2 linked regions of the Drosophila melanogaster genome follow. The protein of the gene in region 2 interacts with the protein of the main gene of each other region in a pairwise test. Each region holds a gene or a part of one and is shown on either strand. Other genes may lie near its edges.

Region 1 (17,370 bases), on a different chromosome or scaffold from region 2:
TTCAAACTCCGCTGGTGCTGGGACAAGCGCATCTGATAATGCTAGTACAAGTCTAAAGAATGAAAACCGGCAATTCACACGCGGACGATTCTATACGCTGGAGCTCGATTTGAGCTGCACCAAGAACAAGTTTCCCATCAAGAATCGCAGCCAGCGAACACCAACGCCTCCACCAATCGAAAGTTTAATCGAGTCCAAGCCCACGGTTCAGACAGATGTGAATACAAGTGCGCTGCCAATTATGCAGCGGACCGGTGGCAGCAATGACTCCTCGTCAGCCCTAAGATATTCCACTGTGACCAAGAGCTTGTCGGCATCGATGGCCAGGCCGGTGGGCAGCCTGTACTGCGAGAAGCGCTTGCAGAGCTCCAAATCGGAAGCGGTCCTCGATGAGGTGGCGAAGGCGAGAAGAGCATCCGGTGGTGTGGGACTGACAACTGTGCGTGACAACTCCTAGACGCACTGGCGGAAGATCAATTGAAGTAGCCCAATGGGGACGCACTGCCTACTCTTACATCTCGTTTACTGGCCGCCCGCCTTCCTAAACCGAAACCAATCGGATAAATGTAATATATCAAATCAAAGAACATGTAGCTACGTAGATTAAGGCAATCCGTACTATAGGATTTAAGTTATTTTCGACTAGTTTGTTAAAATTAAAGTTATTACCATAGTTACTTTTACGATCACCACTTATGCATAGTTATTTTTAAAGAAATTCATAACCGTAAGCAGGAAACCAACAAACGACAAAAATCCCAAAAAATAATATATAATTTTCTTATGTAGCGTGTACCAACATATTTTATAGAAGCAGATCGAAAGCAAATTGGATAATTGCCTTGAAGCAACAAGAAACAACCACAAACCACCGCAATTTATTTAATTAATGTACTTAAAACTAAAAGAGACCCAGTGGCAGGCGAAAGCAAAAAGACCACACAAACCTTAAACCAAGAAATTATCATTATTGTTGAAAACAAAGCAAGAAGCATACCGTGAATCGTTCACAATCACTTTAAAACCAAAATGAAATGAAATCAATAAACTATAAAAATTGAAAAAGTTAAACCCAGCAAGTGCTATTTACTTAAAATCGTATGGAAAGATAACAATCTTCTTAGGGGCTGACTAGATTTAAGGTCGATTTATTTAGTTTGTTTTTTAATTGAAATTGGCTAAGCAATCGTATTGGTTGAGTCATGCAATTGAAATTGTTGGAACTATGCATACAATATTTTGTATATGTTTAGTTTAGGAGACTGTAGGAATTTCGTAGTAAGCTCTATTTTTTCACTATTCTTGTATATAAATGCACATAATGATCTTAGGTATAATGATCTTAGGTAGTGGTAGTACATAGCAATGTGTGTGCCCAGCGGACGGGGGAACCATGTCCATCTCGGATCGAACGTGGCTCCTCCACGTCCAACTGCCTGACATTCGAGTATAGTGGGAAAAGTGAGTTTCATTTCATTTCATTTCATTTGAATTGAATTGGAGTGAGGAACCGTATTGTTTGAGTGCGGACTTTTCAGGTTGCGCACTTCGTTGAATTTGTCTCCTGATAAAGCTACAATTAATTGAGCACTAACTTTATGTGTGTGTGTATATACTATATATAAGTACAATTATATGTATCAAAAATGCAATCAACAATATCAGTCCGTTGCCGTGGCCAGCAACAACAATATCTCCTATTCTCAAACTCCATTCATTTCACGCCCGCTGAAACGGAAATTGATACCAGATATTAGGGATTAGGGCTTAGGGATAGTCAAGCATACTCCAATGGGGATGGATGTGATATGTAAATTGAGCAGATCAGTGAAGGTGCCTAGCCTCTGGCCAATCCAATCCATTTCGGTACTAGCCTTGCACGTATCCCAGTTCCGTCTACTCACCCAGCCGTGGATCCTATGGCCAGGCGAAGTTGATGCCCGTCAGCTGGTAGAACTTGTTGTTGAAGGGCCGGTAGAACTCCCGGAGGCGCTCGATGGCCCCGGGATCTATGTGCGGATGGTTGCGCCCCTTGGTCTTACCCAGACAGTGGGGCGTGGAGCGTGCCTCCGACTTGAAGAGGCAGGGGAAGCCCTTGGTGGCATTGAAGTAGAAGTGCTTCTCGGTGACCACGCGCTTCAGACCGAGGAAGTCCTGTACGCGTCCAATCTCGTAGGCGGGATCCATGATCAGCCGCTCGCCGCTGATGAAGAGCAGCTGCGAGAGCGGAAAGTAGAGCAGCCAGCGCTCCAGATAGCGTGCATAGACGCCGATCTTCACCGGGCCCCAGTTGGTGTCCACCACCGAGTAGCTACCGTTGACGAAGGCCAGCTGCTCGAAGAGCTTCATGTCCGCCTTCTTGCTCGCCGCCTGTGTGTAGTCGGAGATGGCCCGCGTCACCGGATCCCGCACCACAATCAGTAATCTACGGGCGTATAAAATTGAGGTTAAGTGAAGATATGCTAGTGATTGATGGTCCAGATACGTAGGGTTAATGTAAAACGCATAATGCATTTAGAATATAATGTTAATCCCTTCTATGTTGATCAAATCGAATGTTGTATTCCGAAAACCATTTCACTTAAGGTGCTTAAAAGTATGATAAAACCTAAAACAAGTTCTAAAGTCTTGTGTATAAAGCACATATTTAAAAGGACTCAATATTTAAGGGATATCCGCCTTAAAAATCTCAGCTAAGCGTTTGAAACACTTTTATTATATAGTATGCTACGATTTACGTACGGTTTCAATATTTAAGGGATATCAAATCGGCCTTAAAAAGTATCTCTCTTCAATTTTCAACACTTCTATTATAGGTGCTAAAAAGTATGCTATGACTAAATACAGTCTTGTGGATAAAGTGCAGTATTCTAAAAATATCATTTTTAAGAATTGACCGTTTTTAAGTTCTATCAAATCTGATGGAGTAACAATTTACGATTATGATCACAATAGGTTTGATGTAGAAAAGCTCACTTTGTTGCCGGATTCATGTGGTAGACGCGCTGCGGCACCTCCTTGGTGACGAAGTAGCTGGGCGTCTTCTCCATGGTGATCTGGCCCTCGATAGTGTACGGCATGTGGTGGCGGTACCAGCGTAGTCCCCGCTGGTAGTGCCTGTCGAAGAAGTGCACCTCCGAACCGGCGGCCCGCACGTCCGGATGCAGGCGGATGAACTCGAGCAGCGCCCGCGTCCCGCTCTTCTTCACGCCAATGATGAGCGTGTCGGGCAGGTGGCGCGATGGTCGGAGCCCCTGCTGACGGAGCAGCTGATACTTGGGCGCCCCATCCAGGCTGCTAGTAACCGTCTGTGCCGGCGGAGCACCGGTGGTGGATGAGCTGTTCCTGCTGCTGCTGCTGTTGCTGCTGCTGCTGTTGGCGGCGTTATTGGTCTCGTTGCGGGGCGAGGAGGTCAGCGCCAGTAGATTGCGTAAGTTGCTCTGCGCGGGAGAGGTCAGAGGTCAATGCCACACATCGTGCGAAACATATCAACATATTGGCTTATGAAAATGCCCAACTTGTAAGTATGCCGAAAAGTATGCAACTATAAATGTACATATATATAATCGTATATATGTATGTAGATAGCATCGCAAAGTTCAGCGAAAGACAAAACTTAAACTTTTCACAGCACACTTTTGGACAGCTTGTTAAATGTTTTGAAACCGCTGGGGATTATTACAACCCCCCCCCCCCCCCTAATTTTGAGTTGGCTCCACTTTACACATGTGTGTAGCGAAACTTTATATTCGATTTTCCAATTATCAGTTTGTTTTCATGAATAAATGCATTGGATATTGGATACATTTAGCCCCTACACTTAGACATTGTCCAGTGATTCGTGGACATATTCACCTGCTGCAGACTGCGACTGATGCTGGCCAGGAGGCAGGCATTGAAGCTGTAGGAGAAGTAGACCAGAGTCACGCAGATCACCAGGGCGATGGCCAGGCTGCGGCTGCTCAGGCTGAGGCTGCTGCACCAGATGCTCATCACAATCATGGCTGGCTGGGCGCTAGTGGCTGCCGTGTCTCGCATCTGGCGGTATAATCGGTTCCGAGCGCTCCGTCAAATTCCATTGCCACTCAGTCGCCCCGGAGCACTGCCTGCAGCATCCGGATTCCGATTGTGATTTGCAATCGCAGCAGCGGCTGGCGGCTACCGCCAACGCGAAGTCAACTGAAGGAATGGGGCTGTTCGCAACGCTGGAGCTGCTGGTAGTTGCTGGTGGTTGCTGCTGCTGTTAGGTGGCTGGTGGGTGGTTGGTGTGGTTGGGGTGGTGCTGGCGCTACGAGTTCGGCCTGCAAGTGCCGGAGCTGTCGTCGCAGCCGAGTTGCGGAAGTGAAAGCCAGGGATAAGGCAGGGCCAAGACATTGGGGTGCCCTGCCAGCGGATAAGCGCTGCCTGGGCCGCCGGTTCGGCTCCGTTTGTGCAGGATGACAGGATGGGTGGGGGAAGCGGCCGTGTCATGGTTGCGCCTGGGAAGCGCACAGGCGCATTGGACACATCCTCTCTCGTCTCGGGACGCTTATGCAACTGAGCGTTTTGCTTGCTCTCTCGCCAGCTCGTCGAATCGCCGTTGGTGTGACGTCGCAAATGTACACTGCCCGAAAGAAGTGCCAAGTCTTGAATGTAGCAGATAATTAATGTAGTGACAGCTTGCTATCACATCATGTCTTTAAGAAAGAAAGCAGACATATATAGTTAAATCAAAAGATACTAAAATCTGAAGAATTTCCGCTTTGTGAGGGTTTGACGAAATCTTTGCTTTCTACACAAATCAAATCTTAATAAATAAGTATTTCACTTAAGTTAGTAATTAATTTCCAAGTCTGATAAAGTTATATTTATATTAAGCAATAATAATAGACATTATTGATTTGTTAATTTCTAACTTCACAACGAATACATGATAAAATGTACTCCAAAAACGCAATCGTTAAGTAGTATTTCTAATATTTTTTATTATTTCTAAAAATGTATATATGTATATAGTTTGTTATGTAGGCTGGGAATGCCATCTTAATATTTATTCGACCATAATCTTTTCGTATACGGCCTTTTATTTTCTTACTTCCTGTCGCAACTCTCTCTCTCTCTCTTTTTTGCTCTCGGCTTCAATCAATTTTCCGCTCAAAGGTAAACAAACTAACCAAGAACTTACCCCCACCCACTTTGGCAACCAACCACCCACCCACAACCCAACCACCCCATTTGCGTCTGATAAAGTACTTGCTGGCATTTAATATTGGATTGAAATCAATTTACCAAGCATTATCGCCGGACGTTCTATTGCCCGTACTCCTATCACCATTAGCCATTTGAGATTAGTTTTAAGCCCTATCGTTGGAATGGCCCAATGGCCTTTGCCACATTGTTTTCTTATGCATATGAAAGGCCAAAAAATTGTACGTTTCCGTGGCAGCGTGGTAAATAGTAGGGGCCCTCAGTTGGGCCAACTGCCAAGGAGCTTATCAACCGGCGGACATCTGTTTATCTGTCCAAGTGGCTTATTCCACTGCGGCATTAGTCACTCACTTTGGGATACACTGGCGAAAAAAGCGCCAGGAAATTCGATCATATAAATTGGGGTAAAAATATTTACATAAAATGGGAAATATAGTACTTCGAGTAATGCCATAGATAGATACTTGCTCAAAAAAAGATACATTCAGGTACAAAAAAAAACATTGATCTATAACCAACGAATTTCTCCACAAGATGCGCAACATAATCGGATTTCCTTTTGACTATCATAATTCATGAACCCGAGCGGAGAAATGGCTAGATAATCCCAAACCCTCAACTTTTCCGCCCGTGTATCCATGGCCACCACACACATGCACCTGGTCGGGTCGGGTTGGCTTATCTTATCGCCTTATCTGCGCCGCCTTCGTCGCAGTCGAATTCTCCGCCGGACTTCCACCGGCCCATTTGCCATTTGTCCGGCGTCGCATCGTAGGCATCTCCATTCCAGCTGCTCGCTAAAATGCTCTAAGCTCCTTCGATAGACGAACCTTCCTCTCCCTGCTGCTGGACTAACTAACGCAAATCTATCGCAAAAATGTCGAATGTGTGGGGCAAACTGGTGCTGAAGTTCTTTAAATATGCGCCCAGCTATGTGGGTGAGTTAGCCACGCCAATGGAGATCCTTGTCCAGAGATTACGTCTCATTCACTTCCAGTCTGCCTGTGCTTCCTGCCCTGCGGCATGATCTTTGGCTATACGATCTGCGCCTTTGTTGCGGAGCGGAACCTCAACGCTGGACTCATTCACTATGGACCATTGATTCTGGGCGCCTGCTGGGCGTTGATCACTGCCCTGGCCATGCTGACGGTCAAGTTCGTGAAGAAGTGCATCGTCTACTGGCAGCCATGGCTGCTCCTGGCAGCCGGAGTCTTTAATCTCATAGGCAGCTGCTTCTACTTTGCCGATGGATTTGGTGAGTCATTTCTATGGGCTATTAATTCGCTTCGAAAGGCTTGTGAAAAGTAAATCAATCTGTATCTATATGGCTGGAACTGGGATGTTCTACATATAAGTTTTGAAATAGATTTCAGTTAACAATACTTGAATTTATTTCCCAATAGAGAGAGAGAGAGAGGCAAAGTGATTTGCAATCTGAAAATGATTCGATCTCGATCTGAGTATGTTGAGCATGATTCAATCTTGGCTAGATTTTGAAATCTATATTCTTAAATCAATATCGTTAAGAAATGTTTTGAATGTATGATTTCAGCGAGTTTTTCCAATTCCTTAATCCCACTATTATTATCACTTCAGACCACGTCGGAGCCTATATATCGTACTTGGCGCACAGCATGACCTTCGTGGCCGGCTATAGCTTCCTGCTCACGATCAGCTCCAAGGGCAGCAGGTCGCTGTTCCTCTCGGGCAGCTGCAGCTGCTACCTGCTGGGCGTGGCGTCCGCCGTCAGCCTGATCGTGGCCTCCTACAGCCGGAATGTAAAGGAGCTGGCCGGACAGACGGTGACCACGGAGCAACTGATCGATGGCATCTATGTAAACTTCGCCGGCACCTACTTGAGTGTGGCGGCCGCCGTGTTGGCCATTCTGGTGGGCCAGAAGGTGCTCCACTTTCTGGGCACCGTCGACCTGGTGAACAGCATGGACAACGACCTGCGGATCGCCAACTCGAATGGCAGCATCTTCGAGCAGCGATCGGAGGTCATCAAGCGACTGCAGTTCTTCTACGTGACCAAGAACCAGCAGTGGAACATAATGCTACTGCTCCTCTTCACGGAGGCCGTGCAGTTCGCCCTGTTCGTGTACTTTGTCTACTGGTTTGCCCTTAATCCGGCCATCCGGCTGACAGAGTTCTCCGGCATCGACGGCATGTTCTGGGTGATCTTTGCGGGCAGCCTGCTGGCCCTCATCTGCCAGTGGTTCCTGTCGGTGAAGGTCACCTTTGTGGGCTCGCAGGTGGCCCTCATCTCCTTCACTCTGCTGGCCATGATCCTCTGCAGCGTTACGGACTCCAGGTGGTCGCTCTGGCTGCTCCTTGTGCTCTTTGGCCTGTCGTACTCGCAGCAGCAGATTCTCCTGCTGGAGGTCACCCATCTGCGCTTCACCGAATGCATCATATGCATCTCGTATGTGCTCAAGTTGATCTGCACCAGCATCGTGTACTTCTACTTTGTGGCGGATGCGAAGAACTCCTACTTCTATGCCACCGACTCGAGCACTCTGATGGCCCAGGGATTCGTCTTTCTCATCATCACCTCGCTGCTGGCACTCGTGGTGGGCATGAAGGTGCCCCGGACGCATCGCGCCCAGCTGCTGGAGATCCAGTACGAGGTGTACGGCATCATCTTTATGAAGCACCAGATCGAGCAGCTCAACGTCCGTTGGCTGAACGACGGCACCATTCCCACCATCAACCAGTGAGCCCGAATTTGAGCTTAGGTCCCCGAGCTGTACACACACACTTTCTTATCTTATCACAAATACTCAGTATTTAATGAATCGAAAATAAAAAGACTTCTCAGTCTTTATCCACATACAATTGGTGACAACAGAAATAGGAGCCTGAGTTGAAGAAGCTATAAATTTCGTCTATATATCAAGGCATATAAACGACTTAAGAATATTAAATATAGAACTATAACTGCTTAAGTCAAATTCTTTGGAAATTAGATACAAAACTTCTGATATACACATTTTCATATGATCCGCCTAAAAGGTTTTGCAGTTGTATCTTTATCATCATTAAAGAGCTGTAAATTCTTTTCCAATTTTCCAAACAATCCCAATAGAGATACAATCAAGGCCTTAAGTGGGTTCCAGATAGTGGGTGTTTGTTTACGTGGTGTAGGTTTATTTTAGGACTAAAACTAGCGTCTTATGGAGATAATCTGGACGGCGGCGGTGTGATCGCGACAAAAGTGGCTGGCACAGGCCGATACGTTCGCACATGGAGTCACCTTGTAGCCACTGTCACCTGGAGGATAATATGCTTAGTTATGCGGGCGTTCCCCATCTGGAGATATGACATGACTCACCCAGCTGGGTCATGAACTTGTGCAGCGTGTCCACATTCCGCACCGTGCTGGCCAGCAGGGTTTCCAGTCCACCTCCGCGTCGGGAGTACAAATAGTCCATGGCACCCAGCAGTGCATCGAACTGGGAATCATCGTAGATCACATCGGCGGCTATCAAAAGATCCGTTTTAGCATGCGAATCCCAGGGGAACTCACTGACCGCAGCCCAGTTTAGCTGCTCCGCCTGGGGCATCTGCTCCTTGGGCGTGTCTGGAAAATTCAGGCTGATATTCTCGCGCATTAGCTGGACGCAGGGTTCACTGCCATCGGTCAGCAGGACCTGGCCCACTTGCAGCTGCAGGGCCGGTAGTTTCAGCATGATTCCCAGCAGCCCGGCACCGGCTCCCAACTCCACTATGTTCTTGCCACGCACCAGGTCGCGGTGCTGCAGGAGGTAATCGCCGAGGGCCAGAGCCGCTTCCCAGGTGCACAATCCCGTTGTGCCCTCGGCCACGAAGCTGGTGGACTCACGGAGCGTGATGTGGGCGCCCGGTTCGAGGAGATAATGTTTGTAGGCGTACGTGGATGACCCTGTGCTCGCTTCGTTCTCCGCCACCGGACCGCACAAGCTGCTGTATATATCGTCGTGCAGATCTTCCTGATCTCCGAGCAGGAGTAGCAGGTGCTTGAGGAAGGCCTCCAGGTAGCTGCGACGCACAGGATAGCACTGGTTCATCGGGTGGCCACAGGTGGCCGCTAACAGCTCCTGCTGATCCTCCCAGCTGAGGGGCAGCGTGACCGACTGCAATGGACACCAAATCGATTCAACAGGTGGCCGGGTCATAATGTATCACATGGATTACTCACCGACCAGGCCATCTTGTTCACCGGATAGCAACAGAGGAACTGCTGCTGCAGCTTGCCGTACTTTCTGGACATTTTCCGTGCTCCAAGTTCCGAGTTCCTCGGCTACTCGATATGAAAACCCACTCCCAGACGAACGAAAGTGACAACGTGAATTGTACCCGGCACTTGGAGAGCAGTGTGACCAATTACCAAAAACACTCTCTGACGGAAAAACAAATGGGGTATTCCCAACTTTGGCGAGTACCTAACAATATAGAGTATATTACGAGTAATATTGATACGGCAAAACAAATACTCTATAATAAATATCTTTGCCTAATAACAAAACAATCTAGAATGTTATAGTCGTCTTCCCCGACTATCAGATACTCAGCAAGTGGAAATGCATTAGCGGAATTCAATTATTTTGATGGCATATTATAGACTTTGGGAAAAAAAAATAAAACAAAGAATTATCACACGAAAGAACGATTCGGCTATTGGTCCTGATCAAGAATATATGTAATTTTTATGGTTGGAAACGCTACCATCTAGCTATTACCAACGAATAGTATACTCTTTTACTCTACGAGTAACGGGCATACAAATATTTTTTATTATTAAATACATCACTGTGAACGGCAGTCCACGTAGTGCCGAAGCGCACCAGGAGAGTGTGCTATGTAGATATAAGTATGTATACACACAAGGAACGAAAATCTGCTGTAGTTGGCAGATAACGAGTGATACATCAAAAGGTACAAAATTTTATGGTTCCGATAAAAGTACAACAAATTGGAACTGAGACCCATCAGTTGCGTTTTAATTGCTACTGACAAAAAAACCGAAGTCTTGTTAAACCTCCGTTTGAAATATATTTTCAAAACAAGTAATTGGCCATTTTTCAAAATGAGAGTTTATGTCGATTTGGTTTTCTCCCGCAACAAAACGTTATTTGGAAAACCTAAAATATTATATTTTCTGTTAAACAACTAAATATGACCAAATTTTGGAAAAACACGTTAGCTTAGCGGAAAAACTTCTATAAATAGCTACAGTTTCTACGCCCATAACGTCTAAGCACTTGGCTCTAGAGACTTCCTTTCAAATGAATTTTGTCCACCTCGAATATTTTTACAAAGCGTGACTTATATCTTAGATATGGCAGTTTTTTAGTTGAATGAAAATGTATATCAATAGTTTTTATGTCGTTAACAGGTGATTTTTATGATACGCTATATTAAAGTTTTTATTAAAATCGAGAAAAGCTTAGTTGTAGATTTATGTAATATACCTGCACTTACTTAAAACTTAACTATATCATGTTAATAGAAAATCAAATTTAAATAAACAGTATATATTATGTTTAAGTAACAAGAACTTCTTATGAGACAAGATATAATACACATAGTTAAGCAATGCTTATATTACATAAAAAAAAAATTCGCATAGAATACTCTTTCGTCTCAAGTGGACCATCAATCATGAGTTATTCTATACTATAAGCTGGGTAGATAAAATTCAAATAAGCAAATTAAAGTAATCCAAGTCATAATTTCATAATAATTTCATAATTTTGGTCAATAAATCAAATGGGATTGTGTATATGGATAAGGCTTACAAAATCGCTGCACACTTTTGGGCATTTGGGTTCTCCACACCGGAAACAAATCCGTAGCATTTACGTGTGTATATTATGTGTGTATAGACCACATGTTAACCGAAATTTGTGATGGATAGGTTGGAGCCGCCAGTAGTTTTTAGATGGCGCGTCCAAGAAGGAACTACTACGAGTAGATGGATGGACAGATAGACATACATAGGTCAATGGATGGTCGAAACCCGAACAGCCCTGTTAGCCAACAGCAGTGGGCGCTGCTATTACGTGGACGTAGCGCCGATCGATTGGCGTTAGTCGATCCGATCTTCCCATCGGCGCTTTCTCGGCTCATGCCCATAGCAATTGGGTTCTGTTCAGATTCGGTTTAGTTGATTTTCGCAGCTGGCGGCGATGGAAGTACCGCGATTACGTCGAGCCCTCGTCAAATGAGATTTTAGCTGGGTTTTCGATTCGGTTTCGGATTTGGTTTCGGGATCATATCGCGGGCATCGTGGAATTTGTGGCATTTTGGGAATATAGCTCTATAGAGCATTCGCAGTGATTTAAGGCAAGGAGTGGCAAACCTTGAGCCTTCCCTGTGGTAACCATCAATGCTACAACCTTGAACTTCAGTCGTAGTCCACATAGCGCCTCTCAATTAGATGCAGGCCATTCAGTCGGTCTTTCAGTCATTCAGTCACTCGGTTGGTCGTTTGGTCCGCTAGTGAGTGCATCTCGTGGTGTATAAAAATAAATAGCATTAGCAGCAGCCGCAGCAGCAGCACCAGCACCCAAAATAAAAGCCATAAACCACTGGCGCAGGAAGCACTGTGCTGCCAATTGGCGAACTTGCCAAGGAGATACTATACGCGGATCCCACTGGGAATACCAAATACTAGAATACTACGTACGGAGCACAGGTAAGTAAGTGGGCGGAATCGCATCGGGAATTGGAATCGCGATGGGATATGATGGGTGCGACACGTTCACATCACACACCTCGCACGAGTTCATCCGACGTCTTTTGGAATCGTTTTTGTTTTTGCCCTGCTATCAGCAGATGTTCAAAACACCTGATTGGTTTTCAGATTATTATAGCCCTCGTTTGAGTTGAGTGACATAAGGGCGGAAAGTGGCCAAAAACATTCTGTAAGTTAGTTAAAAAACCGCAAACTAAACTCTTAATTTATGTCTTAATGAGAACACAGCGACTTGAAAGATACTCGTCGTATAGATAACTTTCTCATTTCTCTATAACTTTTCGTTTACCCAGTGAATTTTAACAAATTTCTACCAAATTAAATAAATTCTTTGAATAAAAAGTAAAGCTACATTATCAGCTTTTGATACATACATGTATAGACCCTGATTATTAAATAAAAAATCTAAAAAATGCTATTTGCATTGTGAAAAACATTAAGTACATTAGACATACATATGTATGTATGGATGTGTATCTGAGGTGTAAGTTACTCATATTTGCAAGCATAAGATACACTTATAATGTACTGAATTTCTGAATACAAATTCCAATGTTTTTCTGAATTGCATTTGAAATGCAAAGATCTAAGTGCAGTGATATTCAATCGATTTAAATGCATCTTTTAATTTGATTTAAGTTCAGAACTCCACGATTTCGTTCTCAGTGCATGCCAAAACTAGTCGAAGGCGGGAAAGTGTCAACAACCCATCGAATCGAATCATTGGCTATCTGGGGGCACAGCTGGTAGCCAAATATGTGGCTTCCACTCCAGAGCCACATGTAACCACGCTGCCCATCGCAATCTTATCACCTTATCGATGGATCCATAGTCACTGGGCTTTGCTTATCTCGATCTGTATCTGTATCTGTGTATCTAGGCCTGGGCCCATTGTTTTCCATCAACTTCAGTCAATTAAGTGTTTAGCGGCTTCGGTCTTATTGGCAATAGCATGGATGTTTACCCAAAACATTGTTGGGTAAAAAGTATAGACAAAAATCTATACTATTTCATAATGTTACGAAAGTTCAGTTGCTTAGAAAGCTTCCGACAAAAAGCAAAAAACTATTACATACAGTTTGGAAATCAAATTAAGGTTTAGTGAAACAACGAGAAAATGGGAAACATGTTGTTTCAATACGAAATACGCTATGTGTATTCGTGACTTAGTTATGAGAAATTGTCAAATAAGTTACGAGCGACGTGCAAATTTAATATTTCTGTAACTTTTAAACAACCACAAGCTTACATTAAAACGTAAGTGCAAACATTTTAGGGCAGCTGTGCTATAATTATCGAAAGTCTAAAAACTGTATAGATTTATACTACTATATGTATATTATAAAAACGTGTGGGTTCAGCCTCTCAAATATGCACTAGTATTACGTACTATGTATGTAGTGTGGCATTCTTGATTGTTTTCTCAATAGCTTGAATGCTAATTGTTTTAATTGAAGCGATTCACGCAAGTCAGTTCTCAGTGGAATAGTTTATATTTTGGATACCTGCCAATCGAATCTTCCATCCATTTCGTTAGTTTTGGAAAGCTCTATTAATCGAACTGGTTGTATTGAACTAAGTCACTATCAGTGGGCTTTTATCACACTTGCTCGCAAATCAAATCTTCCACCGGTTGTCTGCAAGCCATTTGTGGTTAGTTTTGAAGAGCTATACTAATCGAACTGGTTGATTTGACCTCAGTCGCTATCAGTGGGGGCTTGTTATCACATTTTCTCGCACCTCGTAAAACTAAATCATTACTCAATTATAGGGTGAGAAGTAAGCATTCTATTTGCAATTGCTTTAGTGAGGAACTATTGTAGTTAACTTCATTGAATAATACCATCGTCTACCATTTAAGTTGTGTCATTACTTCAGCTTCGGATTCATTCCATTGAATTCCATTTCCCATTTCGCCATCAGTCTTGTGGCTTGCACCGAATCCGCAGACACTCGAAACCATCTAGAATCTGAAATTGGCTGGAATTCAAATTTTGCCCAAACGTAGATCGAATCTGGAGCACTACGGAATACAGAATCGAACTACTGATAAGTGGACATCTTACGGACCAGACACCATTGACCTTGGGCAGGGGAATCGCTACGCTCAATCATCACACACAAAAAAATACTCTAAAGAAATGTTTAATATTCAAATAGGTTTTGATGATGCAAAATGAGCCATTGTTACACTTGGTTCTATCTGACACAAATTGTATCTTTTAATCGTAGTTTTTGACTGCCAGAAGATGCATATTTCATAGATATGACATTCCTCATTAGACCATCAACCACATTTAGCATCTTTCTGTGTGCGTAGAGGACATAAATATGATTCACAATTTGCGCGCTAACTTTGGTTTTGGTCTGCGTCTCTGGGTGGAAATCTGTCACATGACGCCGCTGATAAGGAAAGCTGCTGCTGGTGGAGAGGTAGAGGGTGAGAAGGCATTGGAAAACCGGAGATTTCGAATGTCAGATTTGGTATTCTCGTTTCTTGGTACCCAATCGTGAACCCGGGTTCTGATCAGATGGCAACAACACTGTGCCACCGATCTGCCTGCTGGCGGCGACTGGGATGGCATCTTTATAACCCGTATGCGGTTAATTGTGACAAGTGATCGTTAACGTATTGCGCCAAGTAATTGCCGTAAATCATTTACGAACTCGGCCAGCTGCCTTCAATGGAATTTTTCCCATATCACTTCCCTATTTGCATTTGTTTTCAGGGTTACGGACATGCCTTTTAATACAATATTTCTCACTGATTCGCTTACAGTTGGCCATGGAGAAGAAGGTCTATCAGGACACAACGCGACCGCTGCCCAGGGTCTCCCGTGCACGGTACTATAACAAGCACGACAAGAGCGATCTGGGCGACGACTTTGTGGCGCCCGACGCGGGATGGGCGTGGATCGTTTGCGTCGCCGCTGGCGTTTCAAATGTAGGTAAAACTAAGCCAATTTCATCCATTTCCATGTCAAATATATTTTAAGTGAATGTTAGGTGAACATAAGCATATAGTTACTGTTTCCTATTGAAGTCCTATCACTCGGAAGAACTCTAATAGATTTGCTTTACAGCTCTCCATTTACCCCTGCCTGCAACAGTTTGGCTTTCTATTCAGGGAGCGCCTGTCCGATCTGGGCATGTCCAGTTCCCAGATTACAGCCATCATTAACGCAAATCCGGCCGTATCGGCCTGCACGGGTCTGCTCAATGGACCGATGTTCCGGAGGTTCACCTTTCGCCAGGTGGCCATGGCCGGTTCTCTGCTAATCTCCGGGAGTCTCATACTAACCGCCTTCTGTGAAACCTTTCTCAGCTACATGGTGGCCTACGCCCTGTTGTTTGGTGAGTACAAAGGCATCTCGATGCACTCAAGATGTCGTTCAAAACTATCCTTTGACATTATAATTAATGAATTGCAAAGTTAAATTATACTTTATTGGATATTTTTGTTTTGAAAGCAATTGTGTTAGCTTGTCTACTAACTTTTGAACAATCCACAGGCTTTGGCATGGGCATTAGTGTGTCGGCCTCCTCGCTGGCGATCAACACGTACTTCCAGAAGAAGCGTCGTCGGGCGGCCGGGTTTTCGTGGACCATAACGGGTCTGGGACCGATCTTTCTGCCGCATCTGGTCACCTTTTTGCTGACCATTTACGGGGTGCAGGGGACCACGCTACTCTTCGCCGCCATCTCGCTGCACTCGTTCGTTTGCGCCCTGATCTATCAGCCGGTTCGGTACCATGTGAAGCCACCGGTGGAGCAGCTGGCGGATCAGGAGCAGCAGGCGGAGGCGTTGTGTGCCCACTGCTCGTGGCAGCAGAAACGCGAGCCGGGCGGCATATTCTCCAGTCAGTATCTATGCCAGGACGACGATGCCCAGCGACCGGGCTACGAGATCTGTGAGCCCGGCACACCGATGCTCTCGCGCGCCAACGATGGCTGGTATGGATCCCGGCTATCGCTGACCTCGGGCCGCCTTCGCTTTCGCACCATCTCGAGCTCCAAGGATCTGGAGCAGACGCAGCGACTGCATTGTCCCATTAGCGAGGAGCAGAACCACGAGAGCGATGAGTTCCTGCGCCCCAATAACTTTCGCAGGGAGCGGGTGGAGTCCAACCTGGAGGCCAAGCTGTGTTGCCAGTGTTCGGCCAAGCGGGAGGAGCACAACAATAACCGAAAGGAGAAGGAAGCCGAGGCTGAGGAGGCGGGAATGGAGTCGGCTCCACTGCACGATCCGCAGATGAGCTTTCTGGCCAAGGTGGTGACCTTCTTCGATCTGGACCTGCTGCGCGACTTCACCTTCGTCAATCTGGTGGCCGGACTGACCATCATAAACTTTGGGGAGCTCAACTTCTCCATACTGACGCCCTTCATTCTGGTGGACTTTGGCTTCGATACTCCACAGATTACGCTGGCCATGTCGCTGCTGGCGGGACTGGACATCACCATGCGCTTCATGGTCCCCTTCCTCACTGAGAAGATTCCGTGGGACAACCGGGTATTCTTCCTCATCGGCGTGGTGGGCATCGCTCTCGGCCGCACAGTGGTGGCCTGCACGCGTTCCTACAGCCTGATCCTCTGCAGCTTCGTGTGGATCGGTCTCTGCAAGGGAGTGCGTACCATCTTCTGGCCACTGATCATACCCGGCTATGTGCCTCTGAACCGCCTGCCAGGCGCCTCGGGACTGCAACTGCTGATCTCGGGACTATTCACCCTGATCGGTGGTCCATTTGTCGGTGAGTGCCTATAGAATCTGATACATTACCTTTGTTGTTCAATGTGGATGTAAAAAAGGATACTGTCATAAGTATCATCATTTGTTCATATATCTACATGAATATGAATCCGTATATCTCCTTGATAATATAATGAAATATCTTATCCATGGATGCAAATTTAGTTATGTTAATATTTCCCTTGTTTTTAGGCCTGGTGCGTGACCGTTACGACTATTCGGTTACCCTGCACTGTCTCAATATGATGTCCTTTGTGGCAGCAACATCCTGGTCCTTGGAGGCCCTCATCCGGCGGCATCGCCGCAAACAGCGCCTGGTGAACAGCTGAGGAGCTCCTCGGAAAGCTGTACCCCCAACTCAAAGACATTGTAGCGTAGGGAGAACTCTTTTTTTTTGTTAGACTTAAGGAAAAGTTTTGTATAATAAATGTGACCGATAATTTTTGCATTCAGTTTCGAAAAGTATACTTTTGGGATGCTTTGAAAATCAGTCAACAAACTACATTAGCAATCCATTCGTGCTGCTTTTATACAATATATTAAAAGTCCGATGATAATTTATTTATATTACGAGTAGGTACATTAAAATGACTTTGCTTGGTTTAATTTTATTCGATCGTTTGTTTGTTCATATTTGCTATATTTTGGTTGCACATCGATTATAACGTTGTCAATCGCCTGACAACCCATTCTTCGG
Region 2 (4,846 bases):
AGTCAAAAATTTGGCATGGTTTTTGTTCGGTAGAAATCTACAGTTCCTGGTGGCTCTTGGACAAGCTCTCGCCCAGCTTGAGTTCCGGATTGAGCTTGAATTCCTGCTCATGGTCGAAAACCTGCTCTCGATCGCTCTTTAGCCTGGCCTCGCCCTCCTCGCTCGTCTCCACGCTGATTTGTTGCGAGTCCTCGGTGTCGGATATATAACCAGATTCACCAGTATAGTAAATGGGATACAGCAGAAGCGGCGAGGCGCTGAAGGCAACAAGATTACGCTTGGGAAAGGCTTCCGTCCACGTTTTGTTCGGATGACGATCGAACATCAGCGGCAGAAACTCATCGACCGGTATGAGCTTGTCCAGCGGCTTGGCGGCCAGCAGTTTCAGTGCACCCTGCAGGGATATAACGTAGCCCAGTGTCCAGTACGAGTAGCCAGCGTGCACCAGATTATCCGCATTCTCCACAGCCGGCTCGCTTTCCTCCTTCAAACGTTTGCGGCCAAAGTAAATCAGGTCGTACTGTGCGGCATTCCTGGCCTGGTTGAGAATTCTGACTGCGTTCTGTCGGAAATACGGCTCGAAACGTATATCGTCCTCCAGAATGAGCACCTCCTTCAGTTGCTTGCGCACCATCATCACCCAGATGTTGTAGTGGCTCAGAAAGCAGCCAATCTCGCCCATTGTCATCGCCCGATGATGATAGGGATCCTCGTAGCCGGGCAGAAATCGTACGCCCATCTCCAGCAGCCTTTCCGTGCTCAGTTCTTTGCCATCAACGGCCGGGAAGTGCTCCGCCTCTATTCCGATCTCGTCGAACAGCCTTTCCATTTTCTCTCGCCGCTCGGGTCGTCTTTTTAGATTAATCATAAATATGCGGTCCAAGGAGAGTTTGCTCTTCTCCGGTTTCTTCTCCAAATGCTTGTAGTAGTCCAGCAGTGGCGGCACTGCGCCGAGTTCATTGACCATAATGCTCTTGAGGTTCACCAGCTGTTGTACGTCGTGGTCCAAGGTATCGCCTGGTTCCAATGGCTGCAGTATATAACCAAAGGTTATGTCGTTGCAAATGTGCAAGGGAATGCCTGAACTGTTGGCCGATATGGCGAACACAATGATGTCATCGGCTGGTCCATCGTACAGTGGCTCTTGCTGTCGGGATTTCTGCAATTCCACCAGCTTGTTCCTATCGAAGGTGAGATTCCTAACCGCTCGATGGTTCATGTTCACCAAAACGGCTGTGTGGACCATTGGCACTGGGAAGCTGCCTTGCTTTTTCACATGATAGATTTCCTTGTACTCATCGGTGCGTCTGTAGTAGTAGTCCTCCGTCATGCCACACCAGAAATTCGAGTATAAGCTCTCCGAGATCAGCATGGGAGCCACAATTGGTAATTGGAGTCGGGTGAGGACTTTTAGCGAATCTTTTGAAGTTAGCAAGACATCGGCGTCCAGGAAAAACACGTAGTCAGCCCAAATATCGCGACCATACTGAAAGGCCTCCTCTTTCAGGGCGATTAGGTGCTTGAAACGCGATGCGGGCCACTCGTACGGTGAAGTCCCGTTGACAAAGCTCTGCTCCTCCGGCTTAAATTCGTAGCTTACGCTGTGATAAAGATCCCCCGAGTTGTCCAGCCACTGCCGCAATAGCTCTATGCTGTCATCGTTGCTGTGATCACAGCGCAACCTGAGATATTTCCAAACCAGAGGTAAGATTTGCAATTTTCAATTCCATATCTAAATGAGTTCACTTTACTAACCAAATTGCTATTCTTTCCTTTGGATAGTCCTGCTGCTCCAGGTAGCTGAGGAACATGGGCAGTATGTGGGCTTTGTTCCGCACCAGCAGGGCAATCAGTACCGTTGGCGACTCCTGGTAATCCTCCTCATCCTGTCCTGAAATGCACACCAAAATGCAAGCGAGGAGCAGGCCGAATATAACTTGTTTGTTCATCTCCACGTCATCGATTAAACGCAACGCCGGGTTCAAAGGGGTCACAGTACACAATCTGGCGGAGCGGAAGCGTCCGGTTCGTTTGAAATGCGCCGGAGAATCAGATTCGGCGTTATCTATTAATAAACTGCCTCCTTCTTTTCCAGCTCCAGATGGAGTGCCGCTCAAACTGCATCAGCTGCGGCGCCTCTCAAACTGTGCTGTTATCGTTTGTTATCGATTTTAATGGATTTAAATGAATTTCAGTCGGAAATCCATAGTTTAGCTCCATAGTTTCTTAAAGATCCTTTCATTTGATTAATAAGTTTAAAAACATTTCTTTACAAACTTTCAAGGCAGAACATTTCATACAGCTTAATGAAGAAGAACTAGCATACAGAATGACTGGAATATTTTCTACTTGGCATAACAAATATTTATTGTTTTAAAACAAAGACCTAAGCACTTTCCCTTCACGCACTTGCCGCATGAGGTTTTGCATAGCTGGGGAAGTTCAGTTTCAGACCCTCCTTGGCCTCGAAGAAGGTGTACGAAAGGGTGATGGTGTCACAGGTCTCCAGCGCCGGATCTGCCGTTATTTCGGGATCGATGTAGAAGAAGACGGGCATGTCCACCTCCTCGTGTGGATTCAGTTGCTGTTCCTCGAAGCAAAAGCATTGGATTTTGTTGAAATACGCGCCCGCCTCGAAGGGAATCACATTGTACGTGCTGATGCCAATTACCGGCTTATCCGTGGGATTTCGCGCCGTGTAAAAGGCCAGAGCAGTCTCGCCAGGAGCTACTTTGATCTCGTACTGCTGCGGCTTGAAGTTCCAGCGCATCGAGGATCCAATGTCGGCGTTGAAACGGATCTTCAGCACCCGATCCTCGATCTTTTTCATGTGCTCCACCTTTTCGGCATCGTGCCCCTGCGTGGTGGTCCCTCCGTAACTGTAGGCCTGGCAGAAGATGCTGTACAGCGGCACAGCAGCATAGCTCAGGCCCACAATCAGCACACCGCCGGCGGTTATGTAGTAGAGTGTGGATTTCGCACGCAATTTACGGGCGGCATCCTCCGGAGAATCCGTCGATTTCATGCGCCAAAATTGTTGTGACTTATGGACTGAGTTTTGAGGGCGGATGGAGCTCCTGAACAGTTGCTGGCATTGTCCACGGAGGGCACAAAGGCTGCGCATCATCGTTAGATCTTTATTTGATCCAATTAACGTTAACTTTGCCTTAGGATTTCATTTATTTTAGCACTTGTTTGTATAATCTTCAGTTCGTTAAGTGTGCGGCAGTGTGTACACACCTAGCTAAATCAGCTGTTCGCAAGTAATCACAGACAATCGATAGGCAAAGAAGTTTGTCATCGGCAGCGGAATTTCTCAAAAAATACAATTCTTGCAAATAAGCTAAACTATAAACAAACTGGCTAAACATTGTTAAAATATTATTTGAACAAGACACTACCACGGTTGATTATGCAATAGGTAACTACTTGTCAAACAAATAGTTTTGGCGCCAAAAACTTGTTAGCAATAATCTCGAAATTTCGCCTTCGTTTGTTCTTAAATTTAAAGTTACTAAATAAGTATAACATAATGGGTTACACTTACATGTATTTTGATATCCCATTTTAAAGTTCATGTAGAGCACCTCCAGCAGACAACGAATGATCCTGTCGCGCGTTTTCAGGTGCTCCTTGAAGTGCACGTAGCGAAAGACGATCTTCAGGTCATCGCAGATCGTCAGGAAGAACATCCAGATCATGCTAGCGCGTAAGCTTTTGTTATTGTTCATCTCCAGAAGACGGAAGACCTTGAGAACCTGTTCGATCACATCCTCGTCGAAGACGCCAAAGATTTTGGCACCAGGAATGGTCAAAGTGAGCAGGTAGGTTGTAGCCGCATTGAGGGCTAGCTGCATATTGATGTTCTCATTCAGCTGCTGCGGAGCAGCCTGCTGCACATGCTCGGGCAAAACCACCAGGCTCACAAGCGAGTATATATACGTCAGGTAGCCAAGCGCTGGAGAAAATCCAATTAAGTTGGACCAATTGTCGTGGGTGTTGCTATAGCTGGCCTGGTTCTCGTCTCTCATGGCTCGTATGATGGCGGATAAGTCCCGGAGCAACTGCAGCTGCGTCTCCTGGTGGCCACCATCCTGCAGGCACATGGCCATAGTCCAGAACTTCTCCGCCCGCTGCTGCAGCACACTGCCCTCGGCCTCCTCGCCGTACAGCCACTCCTCCACATCCACCCACTGCACATTCGGCTCGTAGTACACCCTTAAATCCCCAAAAATACGATGGAAATCCGACATGTTTACATTTTAGGCGTCCCGTTGCCAAACACAAACCGATGACCAAACCGAACAGCTGAGCGCAATGCAGGGCAATCGATAAACGATAAGACGAGAAGAGCGGTTTGTTTTCAAAATGGTACAAAATCAGGGCTGATATATTAATGCATTTACTTGGCTTATTATTATGCAATTTAGTTGTTTCGTGGTTACATACGCGCACTTAGTTTCTAATTCCGCTGACAGCTAGAAATCCAGCGAGGCTGTGGCATTGGAATTGCTCAGTAGACCAGAGATGCAATTGTCCGGCTTGGCAGATGACTCCTGCAGCTCCGGGGGCAGATGGAACTTTTCGATGATGAACTTCTTGCGGCGCAACTTGAAGGCCAAGTCCGGGGTTTCCGGCATGTGCACGGCCAGCGTATTGATGGCCGACATCTTGTGCAAATGGAGCAGGCCACTGTACTCCTTGAAGGCTGGGTGCGTTTCACGCTCCGAACCGGCAAACGACTCCAGTTCGATGGCATAGTCCACCAGTTGGCGGATCTTGGGCACTAGGCTGGCATCGTACTTGGCAATCAGGTGCATGGGCATCGTGATCAGGCACACGGAGT

Evidence for each region.
Region 1: the proteins of Cox11 (region 2) and CG7889 interact in a two-hybrid assay, tested with the Drosophila melanogaster proteins (one large-scale study listed by BioGRID).

What each region holds. Positions count from the first base shown.
Region 1 is NC_004354.4:19,235,809-19,253,178, reverse strand, and holds CG7889 (uncharacterized protein), read right to left. Parts: upstream 9,549-17,370; 5' UTR 9,440-9,548; coding exon 9,368-9,439; intron 9,303-9,367; coding exon 8,522-9,302; intron 8,461-8,521; coding exon 8,354-8,460; 3' UTR 7,955-8,353; downstream 1-7,954. Other genes in the region: rictor (rapamycin-insensitive companion of Tor), read left to right, coding at 1-457; Hs3st-B (heparan sulfate 3-O sulfotransferase-B), read right to left, coding at 1,918-2,425, 2,977-3,440, 3,856-4,038; CG7992 (uncharacterized protein), read left to right, coding at 6,065-6,125, 6,185-6,442, 6,784-7,907; CG14196 (uncharacterized protein), read left to right, coding at 14,712-14,870, 15,010-15,280, 15,439-16,674, 16,866-17,002.
Region 2 is NT_033779.5:5,525,356-5,530,201, reverse strand, and holds Cox11 (cytochrome c oxidase copper chaperone COX11), read right to left. Parts: upstream 3,246-4,846; 5' UTR 3,128-3,245; coding exon 2,402-3,127; 3' UTR 2,348-2,401; downstream 1-2,347. Other genes in the region: CG31915 (uncharacterized protein), read right to left, coding at 38-1,682, 1,756-1,949; Cap-D3 (chromosome associated protein D3), read right to left, coding at 3,548-4,253; Elp4 (elongator complex protein 4), read right to left, coding at 4,479-4,846.